Oryctolagus cuniculus: one gene and its partner. The protein of the gene in region 1 purifies or fractionates together with the protein of each later gene. This does not show direct contact. Links are inferred from orthologs where the notes say so. Each region holds a gene or a part of one and is shown on either strand. Other genes may lie near its edges.

What was found.
Region 2: the proteins of TOM1 (region 1) and ZFYVE16 purify together in Homo sapiens (affinity purification with western blotting; 3 studies listed by BioGRID and IntAct, with this or other methods). This does not show direct contact. The link is inferred for Oryctolagus cuniculus from reciprocal best matches to the Homo sapiens genes TOM1 and ZFYVE16.

Annotation. Positions count from the first base shown.
Region 1 is NC_091442.1:112,927,284-112,931,418, reverse strand, and holds the end of TOM1 (target of Myb1 membrane trafficking protein), read right to left. Parts: intron 3,787-4,135; coding exon 3,733-3,786; intron 2,522-3,732; coding exon 2,462-2,521; intron 1,501-2,461; coding exon 1,461-1,500; intron 1,379-1,460; coding exon 1,224-1,378; 3' UTR 580-1,223; downstream 1-579.
Region 2 is NC_091445.1:3,969,286-3,973,549, reverse strand, and holds the start of ZFYVE16 (zinc finger FYVE domain-containing protein 16), read right to left. Parts: upstream 2,856-4,264; 5' UTR 2,480-2,855; intron 2,209-2,479; exon of another isoform or gene 2,070-2,208; intron 263-2,069; exon of another isoform or gene 162-262; intron 1-161.

The sequences.
Region 1 (4,135 bases):
GCCAGCTACATACCTAACTCACTACGATGGAGCCAGGGCAGCCCACCGATCCCACCCCTCCCAGGAGCCCAGGCCCTGAGCACCCCCGTCCAGACCTCTCCTCCCCGGGTCACCTTGCAGGGAAGCCCTGGCAGCCCCACCCCTCCCACCACTGAAGGCGGGACCCAGAGGCTGTGAGCAGTGACTTCTGGGGAGCCTGGGGTGCTGACACTGCGGGACCCGGGGCTCTGGAGCTGCCGGGGAGCAGGGCGAGGGCCGACGCCTGCCCCTGCCCCTGCCCCTGCCCCGGGGTGCGGCGCCTTGCGCTGTGCCACGGCATCCGACCTGGGCATCTGAAACGTGGGGCAACGCGCCCGCCCCTCTTCTGAAGACAACAGAGACCTGACTTCCCAGGGCCGCTGCGCAGCTGGGCACCTGCGCCCCAGCTGGGGTGGCCGGGCACCTCCCCTCCCTGTGGGCCACGTGCCACGGCTGCAGGGCGGCAGACACTCAACTCAGTGCCACCACCCCGGGCACATCCGCAGATGCCGGCCTCTCAGTGGGCTCCTGCCCCGCCCCCACTGGACCAGGCTACTGGCAGGTGGTTGTCTACCTTTAATCGGGGGTACAAAAGGCACCTCTCCCAGCACGAGAGGCGCCACCAACAGGAGGACGGAGGAAGGCCAAGGGCCGGGCCAGGCCGGGAGAGGCAGTGGGGGTGGGGTGGGGCCACAGAGCCCAGGCAGCCCCCAGGCCTCACCTTGCAGCCTGGGCTGTTGGGGACTTGCCCCACCCTGAGCCTCTGAGCTTCGTACCTGGATAGAGCAGCACAGCGAGGGGTCACCACATCGGCCCCCCACAGCTCGCTAAAGCCTGGGGGCCCCACGGAGGGGCCAGGGACTCGAGGCTGTGGCAGCCTTAACTGGCAGTGTGGGCTCTCAAGGGCTCAGTGGGGACGGGCCCAGGGCAGAGTCCCACGGTGCCAACACGCAGCCAGTCTGTCTGTCCTGGGGTCTCCCAGTTCTCAGCGAAGGCAGCAGGGCCCAGCGGGGTAGGGGAGGAGGCAGAGCCGGCCAGGATCCCACTGCAGAGCTGACCAGATCCACGCCGCTGCCTCCCCGGGCGCCAGGCAGCACGGCGCAGCCGCAGCCGGGCCGGCCCCGTCTCAGGGACCCCAAGCAGCTGGACACCAAAGGAGGGAGCAAGGCCCGCCGGGGCCGGGCACAGGGTGCCAGACCCCACGCTCATAAGGCAAACAGCATGTCGTCATCCTTTTCCTGCGTCTTCTTCCGGGGGGCCGCGCCAGCAGGGGCACCCCGGGGCCCCTCGCCTGCGGGGCTGGGGAGGCTGGGCAGCCGGTCGGCCGCTTTGGCCCGTTCTTCCAGGAACTTGTCAAACTCTAGAGGAAGGAGAGGGAGGGGTGGGCTTGGAGGCCAGGCTGGGGGAGAGGGCGGGGGCGGGGGTGGGCTGGGCGCTTCTACCTTCACTGGTGACGCCCTTGGGATCTTCCGCGTCGTTCCCCTGGGAAGCAGGAGGAGAGGAGGCAGAGGTTAGTGGCCTGGCCCCCGCGACGGGGCGGAGCTGACAGCTCAGGCTCCCCTGAGCCACTTTGCTGGTGTCCCGCTCTGGCTCTGTCCCCGGCCCGCACAGCACCCGGCCCTCAACCCCCGAGCTGCAGGGCTTGGGTGCCGTCTGCCTTCTCAGAGCCGTGGCTTCTTCTGTGGCACCACGGGGACTGGACACAGAGCTGGAGGCTTCCACCCGGACTGGGACAGGGCAAGAGTGCGGGGCCGCGGCCCAGAGGGCCTGGTGTTGCGTTCTGGCTCCGTTTCCAACCCAGCTCCCTGCTAATGTGCACTTTGGGAAGCAGCAGGTGACGGCTCAAGTGCCTGGGTCCCTGCCACCCCTGTGGGAGACCCACATGGAGTTCACGGCTCCTGGCTTTGGCCTGGCCTGGCTCAGGCTATGTGGGCATTTGGGGAATAAGATCGGTCTCTCTGCTTTTCAAATAAAGTGAAAATAAATAAACAATTTTTAAGTGAGCTAATATACCCAGAGGCCAAGCACAGGGCGCAGTGCCCAGTGTGTCCTGGGGGGGGGGGTGTCCATTAATTTCCTTCCCGGGCGGTCTGACACCTGGGGACTTCCTGCCGTAGCTGGGAGCTGGGAAGGGGCTGGGTCGTGGCTTTGGCCAGCAAGTGCTGGGTGCTGGGTGCTCGGTGCCGGGGGGTGCTGGGTGCATGGAGGAGCTGAGCCTGACGCTGCCTCTTCTGCTCCCTGGGGTTGGAGAATGCTGGTGCCCAGGGCCCCACGTCCTGGCACCGCCTCTCCCGCTCTGGGCACGTCCCTTTAGAGAAGGGTGACCACTGCCCCAGGCGGTCTGTGACATGTGACATGGGGTGGGCAGCCTCCTGCCCCGAGACCCCCACTGGCCACTATGGCTCCTCCCTGGGCCCTGCGGGCGGGCAAGGGCCCCACTCACCACGTCGGTAGACAGCCACTGCTCGATGTCCTCCATGAGGCAGGCCTGGGCGACGGGAACCTGCAGGGAAGGGGTGACGGGGGAGGACAGTGTGGCAGGCGACACGGCCCCGCCGGCCAGTGTCCCCTTGCTGGATGGCCCTTGCCAGTCACCAGCCCTGCCCCAAGCCGCCACCTCGCCCTGCTCTGGGGCAGGGGCCCAAGGTTGCCCCTCCCCACGAGGACAGTGGAGCCCCAGTTCCAGCACACGGTGGTGCAGGCGGGGTTCCGGCTGTGCAAAGGCCCAGGATGGGGCCACCCCAGGCGCAGGTGCCCGGGAACAACAGCCCAGGGGCACGAGAGCCGCCTTCTCCAGCCACCAGAGCTGGGCCGGGCCATGGCCACGGCCACGGCCACGGCCCAGGCCACTGCCACCAGCTTCCGTGTCCTGGCACCTGCGCAGAGCCGGGGTTTGCAGCAGAAGGGAGTGGAGAAGAGCCCCAAGGCAGACAGGAAGTGAGGCCTGGCCAGGCTGGTGGAGTCTGAGGGGCAGCCCAAGCATCGGGACGTTTCGCTGAGGGCCACGAAGACCTGGGCTCGACCAGGAGGCACCCACTCCGGGGCTGGGCCAGGGCCTTCTCGCCCCGCTTCTGCGGTGCCAGACCCCAGATGGAGGTCATGGGCAGGGCTCAGGGTGGGAGAGTCCCGTCTGGCCCCGCCCCTTGGCGCACCATGACTCCCGGCACGGGCTTCACCTCCTTGCACTAGCTCCCCTCTCCCCCGGAGGAGACCACGGGTCCCTACCATGGAGAGGGGGACAACAGGAGGACAGATGCAGGGCTGGGCACAGCACAGAGGAGGGCTGCAGAGACCTCAGTGCCAGGAGGGCAAGCGAGAGTCCTTCTCCCACCAAGCCGCTCTGGTCGCCAAGTTCCGTCACCCAGCCCCCGAGGACCCCGCCGGCAGCACCGCGCCCAGAGCACAGGCAGGCGCCAACCCTTCAGCAGCACCGCGCCTGCGCCCTCTCCCAGTCCCCTGCAGAAGGGCCACCTTGGCCCTGCCCGAGGGCGGTGGGACACGCACACTGCAGGGCTTCGGAAGCCAGCATGCAGGAGCGGGACCAGGCCAGTGCGGGGTGACCCGCCTGGCGATGGCCTGAGCCGTGGGGCCCGGCAGGCCCTCCTCGGCCCCACGCCCTCAGACAGCACCACCGAGGCCCTGCTTCTGCGCCGAGGCCGGAGCCCTGCCAGCAGCAGTCCAGCTTCCTGGGGGCCGGGCCTGGCTCCTGCTCACCATGCCTTGTCTCACCATCCAGTCACGGAAGCTCTTCTCACCGCTGCCTCCCTCCTGGGGGACAGAGCCAGGCTGACCGAGCAGGAGGGGCAGGCCTGGGCCCGGCAGGCCGGCAGCCTCCTCCCGCAGGCTCTGAGGCCTGTGTGTGTGCAGGGCTGTACCGGATGGCGGATGGGACAGCAGGTGCAAAGGGACAGGGGAATCGGCAGAGGGGGCCTCACTGTGGGATGAATCTCATAGCTCTGGGCCGCCAGGGCCTTGCATGGGTCAAGGCAAAGCTGAGAGCAACTTACACAAGACTTCTCAGGCCTTCCCACAAACACCCAGAGGGCAGGCTGGGGGCTCCCGAAGGCTTCCGACGGGCACCCAGGTTCTGACCCCACCCCTCCCACATGCTGGGCCC
Region 2 (4,264 bases), on another chromosome or scaffold:
GTCAAGCACGCGCCCACTCCTGGACTGCTGTTTGCCTGAACAACCTCGAGAACATCCTTCTAGGGCAAGGATCGGAATGCAGGAGAGCCGCCTGAGACAGAGATTTAGAAACCAGCACCCTAAGCTGTGGGATGAGACCACCCAGAAGAGAGGACACAGACCTGACATCAGGGAACTGAAGATCACGGTCCCCGTGCCCAAAACCACTCTGGGTAAAACTCTGCCACACAGTTAAACGTACTGCTGAGGAAAAATATCCAACCTACAATGTTAAATGAACGAAAATCAAACAGCAAAGTTTCTGCATGTTATAAGCCCCTTATTACAAATGAATTGTTAAAAAAAAATTGCACTAGCAAAGACACATGGGGAAATATGAGGAACATTTGTCAATAATTCCATAAATCTGGACATGGGATTATGTAAGCATTTCATAGCTACACTCTATGTCTCTATGACATTTCATTTTCTTACAAGCAATACTTTGGTAAACAGGAAAAAATAATTGTGTTCTTTTCCTAAAAATCTGTTATAAAGACACTTGGGCATTGTACTATAATTGGGCAAATAATATCAACAGAGAACTGTAATATTACACTAAAATGCTCAATGAACTAACAAAGTAATGCTCCACATTTTTTTTGGTGCTTACTAAGTGAAAACTACTTTTTTAAATAATAAAAGTATTAAATGTTGGCAAAGATGTGATGACAAAAAGTACACTGGTACAATCTCTAAAGAAAATAATATGGCTAGAAATATATATATTTATATTTTATATCAACAGCCTCAAAAACATTCCTAATAACTTGATCCACTAACTCTCTTTAGAAGTTTAATACTCAGGGGCCGGCGCTGTGGCACAGCGGGTTAACGCCCTGGCCTGAAGTGCAGGCATCCCATATGGGCACTGGTTCTAGTCCCGGCTGCTCCTCTTCCCATCCAGCTCTCTGCTATGGCCTGGGATAGCAGTGGAAGATGGCTCAAGTCCTTGGGCCCTGCACCCACGTGGGAGACCTGGAAGAAGCTCTTGGCTCCTGGCTTCCAATCGGCGCAGCACTGGCCGCTGCAGCCATCTGGGGAGTGAACCAGCTTATGGAAGACCTCTCTCTCTCTCTCTCTCTCTCTCTCTCTCTCTCTGCCTCTCCTCACTCTGTAACTCTTTCGAATAAATAAATAAATCTTTTATACTCAAAAACAACAGACCAATGGCATACCAAGCAGTGTTTCCATATATATGCAAATGTTTGCAATGTCCATGCAAAGCCAATTTCTCTTCAAACACTTAACTTTTCCTTACAGCGGAGCTTGCTACTTTTAAATGAACAAGTTAATTATGTTCTGCGCTTTCATTTCCAAAATGGTAAATATACTGCATTAATGAACAAAAACTCTCTGGGGCCGTTCATTTTTAAGCGTGACTCCCCCCAGTCATAATGTTCAGTGGACTGTGGCACTATCCTAGCCCATCACTTTTCCCTGCGTCTGGGGCCCACAGATCGACGGGAACTTGGCTTCCATCGCAATTTCACCGTTTCCAACTCCGTTGTGCTCGTGTACTCCAAAAGCCAAAGTTATGCCTACGAAGCTTATTTAGAACTTGGGAAACTGAAATGCAAACTTCAGCAAGAAAACACCCAATGCCACTACCTATACACGAAACCCCGTCCTCTTAATTCAGCAAAGGCACGGAGGCAGTGAAGGAAGCAGCGCGGGGACCACTCCACGCAGCTCCACCGCAGCGAGCCACCGCACCTCGGCCGGACGCCCGGCGGCGGCGAACCCCGCACCGCATCGCCGGCGCCCGTCAGAGACCAACTTGGCTTCGCGAAGGCGCGTCCCGGCGCCGGCCCGCGAGGGACCCGGGCCCACAAAGGCGCTGGCCGCCAGGAAGGTCAGCCCCGCGGCGGCCCCAGGGCGGGACCCCCGAGCGGACTGCGCGGCGGCCCTGCGGCCCTCAGCTCCCGGCCGGCCTGCCCCTTGCTGCGGGGGTCGAGTGCGGGCCCCGAGCCGGCGGCTCTGGTGAGGGAGCGCGGCAGGGCTGAGGCGAGGCCCCGGCGGCCACTTACCTCCCCACAGCCCTGCGGAGCTCGGGGCCTCGCCGCGGACGCCGCGCTGGGCAGCGAGAGCGACCCCGGCCGGAGCCGCGGCAGTGCGCGACGTCGGCGCAGGGTCTGCCCCCGCCGACCCGAGCGGCGCGGCCCGCGCAGGCGCAGGAGAGGCCGCGCGGCGCACACGCCCCCCGCCCGCGCGGTCCCGGGCGCCTGCGCGCTGCGATGCGGTGCGAGCCGGAAGTGCCTGACCAGGCCCTGGGGTGGGCGCCGCCGCGCGTTTCGGGCTCGGATCGTGAGGAGGGGTGACGCTCGTCCGCGTCCGGCGACCCCTGCCCGTCGCCGACTCAGCGCTGCAGTGGGCGGGCCGGTCGGCCCCGGTGCCGACTGGCCTTCTCCGGTCCGGTCCGGTCCGGTCCGGTGCTCACCCGGCCGTCGCCGCCGCCGTTCTGCGTTTCAGTCAGCGGCCGGAGAACAGCTGCGCTGACTGGAAACAAACGCTGACTTCTGTCAGAAGCGGCCCGAGTGTGTGTGTGTGGCGGAGCGTCGCTGTTTCTGCCGCGAGCGCGTGCCCGGGGCCGAGGCCCCTGCGCGCATCCGAGCGAGCGGCCGCACCGCCGCGAACGCGAAAGCCCGCGTTTCAACAAGCTCAGGCCCACGTCCGCTTTTCCGAAAGTGACAGGAATCATACTATCTCAAGAATATTCCAGACACGTGGGGTTTGTGGTGAAGGATGGGAGAGTCGAGCTTCCAATCTGCGGTTTTCCATCGTTCGGAAAGAATCTCGAATCTCGGGCTTCCTGCACTGGAAGCGGGGGTGGCCTGGCTGTAGTCCAGGTGTAAAGTGTTGACTGCCCGGAACTGTACTGGGCATCTGCTTTGCGTTTGCTGGCCTTCTCAGTAAGTCCAGGAAGCATTTCCGCGGCTGACACACACAACCCGAGGGGCACGGCCTCGTGCAGCCACTGTCGGGTCCAGTGCAGCCTGGACAGAAGTCTGGAGCAGCGCAAGGACCGAGAGCAGGAGTAGGCGAGACACCGAGACCCTAACCCGGCAAAGGAAAAACGTGTGTACGTGAACGCTGAATCCACAAATACAACAGTTAAACGTTTTACTAAGTTATTGTAGTGTTCAAACTCATTAATCACATAAAGACAAAAAATGACAGGTCCCATGGATCCAGTTTAGCCACTTTGGAGTGTGAACAAACTCCATCAGCGAGAGTAGGGTGAACACTCACACTCTGATGGGGATATAAATTAGACCAAGTTAGGATTTTTTACAAGATTTATTTGCTTGAAAGGCAAGTGACAGATCTTGCATCCTCTGGTTCAGTCTTCAAATGGCCACAAAAGCCAGGGCTGGGCCAAGTCAAAGCCAGGAGCCAGAAATTCCACCAGGTCTCCATATGGTGCCAGGGACCCAAGCACTTGAGTTATCTTCACCTGCTTCCCGTGTGCGTTAGCAGGGAGCTGGATGGGAAGTGCAGCAGCCAGGAATCAAATCGGTACTCTGACACGGGATATGAGTTTCCCAAGTAGCAACTTAACCCGCTACACCACAGCATCCCCCTGCCCCAGTTAGGAAAGTTATCTGTCAAATCATATCAAGACCCTTTAAATGTTCACATGACCTAATTCTATAATTTTCCTTTTGGAATGTATAAGGAGTTACTCCAGAAAACAAAGGTTTACGCATAATGGAAATATATTTACCATGACAATATTTGTGTTTTAAAATTGACAACATTCTAAAATACAATAAGAAAATAGTAAAAAAAAAAAAAAGATGACTATATATTTGTGTCAAACCATTAAATTTACCTTTACAAAGAATTCTGATAATTTGAGGAAATCATGATAAAGCATTTTAAATATTTAAAAATATTTATCAATGTGTGTGTAGTATGAAGTCGTTATGCTTGTCCAATACATGTTAAAGAGTGAATGAAATACACTAACATGGGGCCAACATAATGGTGTAGCATGGAAAGTCCTCACTCGCGAAGCCAGCGTCCCATACGGGTGCTGTTTCCAGTCCCAGTTGCTCCTCCAATCCAGCTCCCTGCTAATGGCCTGGGAAAAGTAGCAGAAGGTGGCTCATGTGCTTGGAACCCTTCCACCTCCATGGGAGATCCTGGCTCCTGACTTTGGCCTGGCTCAGCCCTTGTTGTTGAGGCCACTTAGGAAATGAGCCAGCAGATGGATGATCTC